2 linked regions of the Macaca mulatta genome follow. The protein of the gene in region 1 purifies or fractionates together with the protein of each later gene. This does not show direct contact. Links are inferred from orthologs where the notes say so. Each region holds a gene or a part of one and is shown on either strand. Other genes may lie near its edges.

The links. Proteins that work in one complex are often made in the same cells at the same time.
Region 2: the proteins of CAMLG (region 1) and TNFRSF13B purify together in Homo sapiens (affinity purification with western blotting; 3 studies listed by BioGRID and IntAct, with this or other methods). This does not show direct contact. The link is inferred for Macaca mulatta from reciprocal best matches to the Homo sapiens genes CAMLG and TNFRSF13B.

The regions. Positions count from the first base shown.
Region 1 is NC_133411.1:143,656,948-143,662,092, forward strand, and holds part of CAMLG (guided entry of tail-anchored proteins factor CAMLG), read left to right. Parts: intron 1-1,117; coding exon 1,118-1,578; intron 1,579-5,145. UniProt on the Homo sapiens protein: Required for the post-translational delivery of tail-anchored (TA) proteins to the endoplasmic reticulum.
Region 2 is NC_133421.1:18,492,037-18,497,181, forward strand, and holds the end of TNFRSF13B (tumor necrosis factor receptor superfamily member 13B), read right to left. Parts: intron 2,168-5,145; coding exon 1,982-2,167; intron 1,469-1,981; coding exon 1,218-1,468; 3' UTR 742-1,217; downstream 1-741. UniProt on the Homo sapiens protein: Receptor for TNFSF13/APRIL and TNFSF13B/TALL1/BAFF/BLYS that binds both ligands with similar high affinity. Mediates calcineurin-dependent activation of NF-AT, as well as activation of NF-kappa-B and AP-1.

The DNA.
Region 1 (5,145 bases):
AGCCTCAAACTCCTGGGCTTAAGCAATCCTGCTACCTCAGCCTCCAGAGTAGCTAGGACCACAGGCGTACACCACAATGCCCGGCTAATTAAAAAAAAAAATTGTGTGTGTGGAGATGGGGGTCTCACTATGTTGCCTAAGCTGGTCTTGAACTTCTGGGCTCAAGTGATCCACCAGCCTTTGCTTCCAAAAGTGCTGGGCTTACAGGATTACAGGTGTGAGCCATTGTGCCTGGCCTTTTTTAAAACAAAAAACAAAAACAAAAAAAAACACACCAGAGTAGCATCTTAAAACTGCTGAATTACCTACTAATGGTTGTCTGACCACATAAACAGTAGCTGTGGGATATGCCACACCCTATGCTCATAGGGCACTGGATTCACAAATCTAATTTTAAAATACAGATTTTAAAATGCCTTACTGATTTTATATTTTTAACCAAATAAGCTAAGGCAGGCAATGCAATCATACATCTGGGATATATTATCCATAAAAAGTTGGTCTTTTCAGTTTGCTCAATCTCTGAATATCTTTCCTAGTTGGTCTACTAATCTTATCTCCTACCCATAAAGTTTGAGTTATTTCCTCTGCAGAATACTCATTTTGGGTGATATATTTTGAGGGTGTAGAGGAAGAAACCAACTTTTTTTTTTTTTTTTTGGAGACGGAGTCTCGCTCTGTCGCCAGGCAGATGCAGACGGAGTGCAGTGGCGCAATCTCGGCTCATGGCAACCTCTGCCTCCCGGTTTCAAGCGATTCTCCTGCCTCAGCCAGAGTAGCTGGGACTACAGACAGCTGGGACTGCAGGCACATGCCACCACACCCAGCTAATTTTTGTATTTTTAGTAGTGACGGAGTTTCACCATGTTGGCTAGGATAGTCTCAATCTCTTGACCTCATGATGCGCCCACCTCAGCCTCCCAAAGTGTTGGGATTACAGGCGTGAGCCACTGTGCCTGGCCGAAACCAGCTTTTCTTTAATGCAGAATCAATATTTATTTATTTTGATTCAGAGACTGCTGAGTTCTAGCTGCAACAGCATATTTTAAAACATAAACATGTAAGGTGTTTGCCAGTATGTAATAAATACATAAGGCTTTTAAATTTCTTTTCTCAGAAGAAGAAAGTCAAACAAAATCAAAGCAGCAGGACAGTGATAAACTGAACTCCCTCAGCGTTCCTTCAGTTTCAAAACGAGTAGTGCTGGGTGATTCAGTCAGTACAGGAACAACTGACCAGCAGGGTGGTGTGGCCGAGGTAAAGGGGACCCAACTGGGAGACAAATTGGACTCTTTCATTAAACCACCTGAGTGCAGTAATGATGTCAACCTTGAGCTCCGGCAGCGGAACAGAGGGGACTTGACAGCGGACTCAGTCCAGAGGGGTGCCCGCCATGGCCTAGAGCAGTACCTTTCCAGATTCGAAGAAGCAATGAAGCTAAGGAAACAGCTGATTAGTGAAAAACCCAGTCAAGAGGATGGAAGTACAACAGAAGAATTTGACTCTTTTCGAATATTTAGATTGGTGGGATGTGCTCTTCTTGCTCTTGGAGTCAGAGCTTTTGTTTGCAAATACTTGGTAAGAAAAGATCTGTAAATTATTAACTAACTTAATGGAAAATGCAAAATGTTAATAATTATGAGTGCTTTTGACCCATAGAAGTCATTGCCAAAATTAATATCTACCGGATCCATGTGGCTGTTTGAAGATACATTATTAACTTTGCTATTCATCTTATAGAATGAAGTGTTCTGGTTAAATACAGAGCCTAATAATTATTGTTGGTCCTCCATATCAGTTGGTTCTGCACCCTATGTGGATTCAACCAACTGTGGATTGAAAGTATTTGGATTTAGCCGGGCGTGGTGGTGCACGCCTGTAATCCCAGTTACTTGGGAGGCTGAGGCAGGAGAATTGCTTGAACCCGGCAGGCAGAGGTTGCAGTGAGCCAGGATAATGCCACTGCACTCCAGCCTGGGTGACAGAGTGAGACCCTCCCTGTCTCAAAAATAATATGTATGTGTATATATTTGGGGAAAAAATAATACAATAATAACAAATAATAAATAATACAAATAAAGGCTGGGCGCGGTGGCTCAAGCCTGTAATCCCAGCACTTTGGGAGGCCGAGACGGGCGGATCACAAGGTCAGGAGATCGAGACCATCCTGGCTAACCTGGTGAAACCCCATCTCTACTAAAAAATACAAAAAACTAGCCGGGCGAGGTGGCGGGCGCCTGTAGTCCCAGCTACTCGGGAGGCTGAGGCAGGAGAACCGCGTGAACCTGGGAGGCGGAGCTTGCAGTGATCTGAGATCTGGCCACTGCACTCCAGCCTGGGCCACAGAGCGAGACTCCGTCTCAAAAAAAAAATAAATAAATAAATAAATAAATAATACAAATAAAAACAGTATAACAACTATTTACATTGTATTAGGCATAAAAAAATCTAGAAATGATTTCAAGTATATGGGAGGAATTGAGTAGGTTATATGAAAATACTATGCCATTTTACATAAGGGACTTGAGCATCTATCAGGAGGAACCTGGTACCAGTCCTCTGCAGATACTGAGGGATGACTCTACTGAAACCCTTTTTTCATGCTACGGACCCTTCTCATTGCTTTGCGTATATTAATTCATCTAATCCTCATTCTTATGAACTTGGTATTATTTGAATCCATTGGGAAATGAAGACTCAGAGAGGTTAAATCATTTGCCGAAGGTCACACAGCTACTAAGTGATGCTGGGATTAAACCTTAGCAGTTTCATTCTTTAACCAAAGGGTTAAGTGCTTTACATATATATATATACTGTATATTATCAATTTTCAAATAATTTGAAATAGTAAAATGCAGTTCCTGTGGTCCTGAATATGAGGTAAATTTCCTATGGTTCAGAAGACATTTCAGCATTTCTTTTTTTTTTTTGAGACGGAGTCTCGCTCTGTCGCCCAGGCTGGAGTGCAGTGGCCGGATCTCAGCTCACTGCAAGCTCCGCCTCCCGGGTTTATGCCATTCTCCTGCCTCAGCCTCCCGAGTAGCTGGGACTACAGGCGCCCGCCACCTCGCCCGGCTAGTTTTTTGTATTTTTTTTAGTAGAGACGGGGTTTCACCGTGTTAGCCAGGATGGTCTCGATCTCCTGACCTCATGATCCACCCGTCTCGGCCTCCCAAAGTGCTGGGATTACAGGCTTGAGCCACCGCGCCCGGCCAGCATTTCTTAATGTAGTGTCATAATGAGTCCATTTTGGTTGTACCATGATGTGGTTATTTTGTTTTACAGTATATTGAAGAATACAGAAAAGCATAGCTCATAGTTCAGTGTCTTGCACTGAGGTTTTTCCATTCAGTAGACATTTTAGGTATATGTACCAGGCACATAAATAAATTATCCAGATAATTAAAGTTTATATCATTAAGCAAAACAGTTTTTTTTAATCTTTTTTTTTTTTTTTTTTTTTTTTTTGAGATGGAGTTTCTGTCGCCTAGGCTGGAGTGCAGTGGTGCAATCTCGGCTCACTGCAATGTCCACCTCCTGGGTTCAAGTGATTCTCCTGCCTTAGCCTCCTGAGTAGCTGGGACTACAGGCACGTGCCACCATGCACGGCTAATTTTTTGTATTTTTAGTAGAGATGGGGTTTCATCGTGTTAGCCAGGATGGTCTCGATGTCGTGACCTCGTGATCTGCCCACCACTGCCTCCCAAAGTGCTGGGATTACAGGCGTGAGCCACCGTGCCTGGCCTAAAATCTATTTTTATGCAGATGTTTTCATAAATAGAACCTGTTGAACAGATTTTATTTGTTTTTCCTTGATAATAACTTGTCAACATAGTTTGCTATAATGCAAAGATCGGTGATGCTTTCAGCATTTAATGAGCTGCCTCTTTTTTGTCTCTATCTGAAGGGCTCTGTGCTTTCATGCTTTTAATGTTATGCCTATTTTTGTGTGAATTTTTTTGTTTTGGTTTTCTGGGTTTTTTTTTTTTTTTTTTTTTTTTTTTTTTTTTGAGATGGAGTCTCACGCTGTTGCCCAGGCTGGAGTGCAGTGGTGCGATCTCGGCTCACTGCAAGCTCCGCCTCCTGGGTTCACGCCATTCTCCTGCCTCAGCCTCCTGAGTAGCTAGGACTACAGGCACCCGCCACCGCGCCCGGCTAATTTTTTGTATTTTTAATAGAGACGGAGTTTCACTGTGGTCTCGATCTCCTGACCTTGTGATCCGCCCGCCTCGGCCTCCCAAAGTGCTGGGATTACAGGCTTGAGCCACCGCGCCCGGCCCGGTTTTCTGGGTTTTGTTGCTATCAGAGTTTCAACTGTTTCTTACTGCTGTCACCATACTGCCATCTAGTAATGTTTGCTCCTTCACTCGCTTCGTAATGGTTTCATTTTAAAAGTAGTTATGAGGGGCTGGGCACAGTGGCTCATGCCTGTAATCCCACCATGCCCAGCTAATTTTTTAGCAGAGATAGGGTTTCACCTTGTCAGCCAGGATGGTCGTCTCGATCTCTTGACCTCGTGATCCGCCCATCTCTGCTTCCCAAAGTGCTAGGATTACAGGCATGAGCCACCATGCCCAGCCAAGCATTTAGTTTTGTTGTTGTTTAAAACGTTTTAGAGATAGGATCTTGCTGTGGTGCCCAGGCTGGACTAGAACTTCTGGGCTCAAGCAGTCCTCCTGCCTCAGCCTTCTGCATAGCTGGAAGAATGCCATCTATTTTGAGTGCTGGGCCTTGTCTGTGTGCTTCCTGGATGTCAATTAATTCCCTCTGGGTGACGGAGATGTTACTGCATGATGTGTTAAACATCTGTCACTATTTAATACTTTAAATAATTTAAAAGATGAGTTTTTATGAGAGAAGACAGTTTTGGGGACACTAAAAGAATGTGAAAGAATTGTATGACCTGAGAAACATATTTTATGTTAGGAAATCAAATCTTTTATTTTCTTCACCCTTCTGAGGAAACAAGATTACTTTTAACCATTAAAATTACTATTTTATGGGAGACTGAGGCAGGAGAATTGCTTGGACCCAGGAGGCAGAGGTCACAGTGAGCCGAGATTGCGTCACTGCACTCCAGCCTGGGCGACAGAGTGAGACTCCGTCTTAAAAAAAAAAAAGTAATTGCCAGGCGAAGTGACTCAC
Region 2 (5,145 bases), on another chromosome or scaffold:
TGCACTAAGGGATCCTTTGGTGTGTGCAGGTTTGCAAGATAATTTTGGGAGGTGCAGGGTGCATAATTTCAATGTACATTATTATGGATTTATCTTACTGTGAAAATGCTTCTATAGTTTACTTAAGGTTTACATGCTACTCAAGATATAGCTTTAAATGCTAACAAAAAGTGGATGCAGATGAAAACATTCTCTTGCTGTGGTCCAGGGAATCTCAATGTTTTTTTCAGAGACTCGCAGCTTTCAGCTAGAGTTGCCCTCCCCTTCGTGTCCACTGCACACCCCCACAACACACACACGTACCTAAATGCATGCACAGACACACATATGGACATACATATACACACATGCACACACATACATGCACACCCATATGCATGTACACACCTGCACATACACACACACTGTGCTTCATGCCCTCACTAAGGAGGCATGGAAGGGAATGTGTGTCTGTAAGGAAATGAAGACAGCTCAAGCCCCTGGTTCCCTGGGTGTTTGCACAGGCACCCTCCTGCAGACCATTCTTTGGTCTCTTTCTCTCTCTTAATGAGAGAGAAGTAGAACCCGAGTGGGTACCCAGCTGCCTAGCGCTCAACCCAAAGTCACAAGCTTCCTCGGGAGCCTGGTGAGATAGGGGCATCACAGGTCCTCCCAAACCGAGGGGGCAGGGTTCAGTGGAGCCTTGTGCCCAGGAAGGTGATAGACGGGACGTCTTGGTTCATCAAAGACCCAACCACAATGCAGTGAGGAAGGGCAGCCGCCAAAGGTTTTATTCTCCAGGAAGAGGGGCTCTCAGGGTCTGTGAGCAGGAGGCACGAGGACTTTATTGCACATGTGGTTAGGTGATGGCTGCACTGGGAACTGGGAATCAGAGTGTCCTGACCTCCTGCTCTGTCTCTCTCTCCCTCTCTGCCTCCTCTGTCTCTCTGCCTCTCTCCCTTTCTCCCTTTCTCCCTCTCTCCCTCTCTCCCTCTCTGCCTCTCTCCCTTTCTGCCTCTCTCCCTCTCTGTCTCTCTGTGTCTTTCCCTCTCTGCCTCTCTCTCTTTCCCTCTCTGCCTCTCTTCCTCTCTCTCCCTCTCTGTCTCTCCCTCTGTCTCTCTCTCTCTCTCTGCCTCCTCTGTCTCTGTCTCCCCATCTCTCTCCCCTCTCCCCACCTCTCTTTCTCTCTCCCCTTCTCTCCATCTCTCTCCCTCCTCCTTTCCCTCCCTGACCCCCATTTATGCACCTGGGCCCCCTTCCTGGGCAGGCACACACACAATGCCAAGACCACTGTCTGGGATGTGGGGGCAAGGCTGCAGGACTGTGGTCCTGGTGTGGCACCCCCACCTTCCAGCACAAGTGGGGTCGGGGGTCCCAGGCATGACTGCACTCTCCTGGGTGGGCGCCCTGCACTCGGGGAAGCAGAAGCTGCAGGTCTCCACTGGCTCAGGGGATGTGCCCACAGGGCTGCCAGCTTCCATCGCGTGATCTGCAGAGGCAAGAGTGGAGTGTGTGGGCCAGGCCTGGCCCTGCACCAGGGTAGGGGTGACGGTGTGGGCAGCTGCACTCTTCTCCGACCCAGGAGCTAAGGGCAATCACCCAGGCCAGTGTCAGTGTCCCCCAGTTGCCAACCAGAACCTGTGCCTGGGCAGGGGTGGGCAGGCAAATCTTGACTCTCACTTCAGTCCAGCACCAAGCCTGCCAAACCCCCCAAAGGGACACCTCCTCCCAGGCTTAGCCCTAAAGGCTCTGTATCCTGAGAATCCTGGGCCCAGGCAAATCTGAAGGCCAGCACCCCACACCCACCCTTCCTGGGTGCCACTCTCTTGGGTATCTGCCTGCCAGGATGTCTTAAATTGATTTTATCAAGCTACAGCAAATAACAGGGATGAGCCCTGGGCCTCTCCACTTAGAAGCAGGGGCAGTGACAGGATGGAGGGATGGCCCGAGGCTTGTCACCCAAGTATTGAGAAGGGCGAGGACCCCAGTTTCATGAACTCACCCTGGGAAGACTTGGCCGGATTTTGACAGGACCTTGAGCGGGGCTGGCAGGAGCAGGGATCCCTCCTCTTCTTGAGGAAGCAGGCCACTGTCACCAGGAAGCAGCAGAGGACGGCACACAGGCAGAGCCCCAGCGTGCTGTAGACCAGGGCCAGCTGATCTGCACTCAGTTTCAGCCCCGGGAGAGCTGCAAGACAGCGTGAGACCCCTCTCTGCAGTGCCTTCTCCTCTTCCCACTCTTAGATTTAGGAATTTCATAAAGTGACAGAGCTGCCAGGACTCTTAGGGGTCATCAGTGCCACTCTGACATTTACAGGGGGAGATGGGAACTTGGGGTGAGCTGGTGTCACTCCACCAGTCAGTGGCTGTCCTTCCTGTCCAGTGCCCAGATCTCAAAGAGGCCTAACGGAGGAAAACAAGACCCCAGGACCTGCAAACTTGGTGCCACATATCCAAGGCTTACCTGCTCCTACTTGCCTCTGGAATCAAATGCAAACAGTGCCCTGGAGGCATGAGCAGGTGAGACCCTGCCAGCCCTCAGAGCACAGACAGAATGCCGGGCTACAATTTGTTACTAAGCGGAAATGAACTGCATTGATTCAAGGAGGAAAACAAAATATTTGTGCATATTTCAAACATTTCAACATGAGGTTCTGAAACCCAACTGTTCAGAAACCATGCAAGTGTTCAGAGACCATGCTTACAGCATGGTCACCTGACATCGTGTGGACCATCTGGGCTGGGCTGGGCCTCATTCTATCCAGGAGAGTGCCATGGGGGCAAGGCTGTGCCACTCTGGGCCTCCACCTCAAGAAGACCTGACAGCCTCAGTGTTTGCTCCCTTGGGCCTGAGCCACCACTCAAGAAGTCCAGCTGGAGAGTCCCAGTGGAGAGGGACAGGCCCTGAGATCAGCTGGAGGAGAAGCAAGACCTGAATATCCCAGCATCAGAGTCCAGCCTCCAATAGCTCCATCCCCAGCACCATCTGCATAACAGACCCCAAGCAAGAGCAGCAGAAGACCCGCCCAGCTGAGCCCTGCCTCCCCACAGAGCCACACAAGGTCACAACATGAAGATAAGAATCTGGGGACGAGTGTCCAGATCCAGTGACAAGTGTCCTTATACAAGAAGAGAAGGGAGGAGACACAGGCACGGGAAAGAAGCCATGTGGAAGAGGCAGAGATGGGAGTGATGAGGCCACAAGCCCAGGAGGCCTGGGGCAGCCGCCAGAAGCCGGAGAAGGCAGGGAAGAATCCTACCCTGGAGCTTTCAAAGGGAGCAGGGCTCTGCTGCTGCTTGGATCTCAGACTTCTGGGCTCCAGACCAGAAGACAGAGGATCAGTTTGTGTTGTTTTAAGAACCTAACATGTGCACACTGTCATAGCAGCCCCAGGAAGTACAGCCTATCCTAGGACAGAACGCACCCAGCCAGGGTGACAACCCCTTCAGTCCTGGGCAGGGTTCTGAATGCTCAGCAAACCCCAAGTCACTGAGGCCCCACAAAAGCCCTGGGAGGTCAGAGTCATTATGACCAATTTAGGTGGGGACAGCAAGGCACAAGTAGCCCAGATGCACATAGGTTAATTCTGATGTCACAATTTGTTCAATATTTAGATTTCAGCACTAGGGTTTTTTTCCTAACCTTATGTGCTTTGATGCATTCCAGAACCTTATTCCCAGAAGGGGTCATGGGCACCCCCAATGTCTGCAGGACACAGAGGCTGAGCAGTTCCATGACTGACTACTTCCAGTTCTTCTTTTTTTTTTTTTTTTTGAGACGGAGTCTTGCTCTGTCGCCCAGGCTGGAGTGCAGTGGCGCCATCTCGGTTCACTGCAAGCTCCGCCTCCTGGGTTCACACCATTCTCCTGCCTCAGCCTCCCGAGTTGCTGGGACTACAGGCGCCTGCCACCATGCCCATCTCATTTTTTGTATTTTTAATAGAGACGGGGTTTCACCTTGTTAGCCAGGATGGTCTTGATCTCCTGACCTCGTGATCCACCTACCTCGGCCTCCCAAAGTGCTGGGATTACAGGCGTGAGCCACCGCGCCTGGCCTCTCCCTCCAGTTCTAATCTCATGCCAATGCACTGTCCCTCTGTCCCTTCCCAGGTCCTTGTCATCTCTGGTTCCTATTATTGCCAGAAATAGCTTCTCACAGGGCTCCTGCTGCCATCACCACCATCCAGAGGCAACAGGGCGCTCTCCCACAGCTGTGCTCTGACCCCTTGTCCCATGGCTGCCCCTGTCCCCAGCAAGACATCGGCCTCCCAGTCTGGCACATGGGGCCCACTGTCATCTGGCATCTGGTCCCTCCTGGTGCCATCTCCAACCATCCCTGAATGCTTGCTCTTCCCAGCTCAGTCCTCTGCAGCCCCCACACTGGGGGACAAGGTCCTGCCCTTGGTGCTTTTCCTCCTTCTCTGCTGGACAGATGAGCAGCCCCACCCACTGGGGCAGGCTCCCTGGGCCACCTGTTCCCCTCAGGGAGACACAGACACTACATACGCACCTGCCCCGGAGCCTAGGCAGGGAGCTCCTTGCATCGGCCTGGAGTTGTCGCAACAGAACCCCACACCAGACTCCTCTCCTGCTCAACATCTCAAGCCATTTTCAGTCCAGCTTGGGGGCCTGCCCTGCTCTCCCCACGAAGCCCCATGTGTGAGCAGCAGGGCCTTCTGTGCCCTCTTGGTGAGCATGTGGAGTGGTCAGTCTCCACCTTCAAAGCAGATCTGGGGTGGGGTTCCTCCTGCTTCCGTGGAGTGGCCACCACACTCCTGTAGGCTGGAAGCCTGAGAGGAAGGGATTTAGCCCATTCTCCAGCACAGAGCCCCTCACAGCCTCCCAACAGCCCAGTTCGCTGCTCCTAGCAGCACCTGTATGTGCTGTTGCCTCTGCCTGGAACCCTGTCCCCACCGTGTGGCTTCAACATAGTTGCTTTTTGAATGAGCAGTTCCAGCGCACAGAGCACGTGCTCCCCAAAAAACGTATTCTCCCAAATCACCCTCACAGCAACTCTATGAAGGTGAACAACTCCAGCTTCACAGAACTAAGGCTCAGAGAGGGTCGGTAGCTTGCTCCAGATCACACAGCTTGTGAGGGACATAACTAGGGGTTTGGCTCCATATTCCACACCCCCGCCCCAGCCTGCCCTAAAGGCTCCTCCTC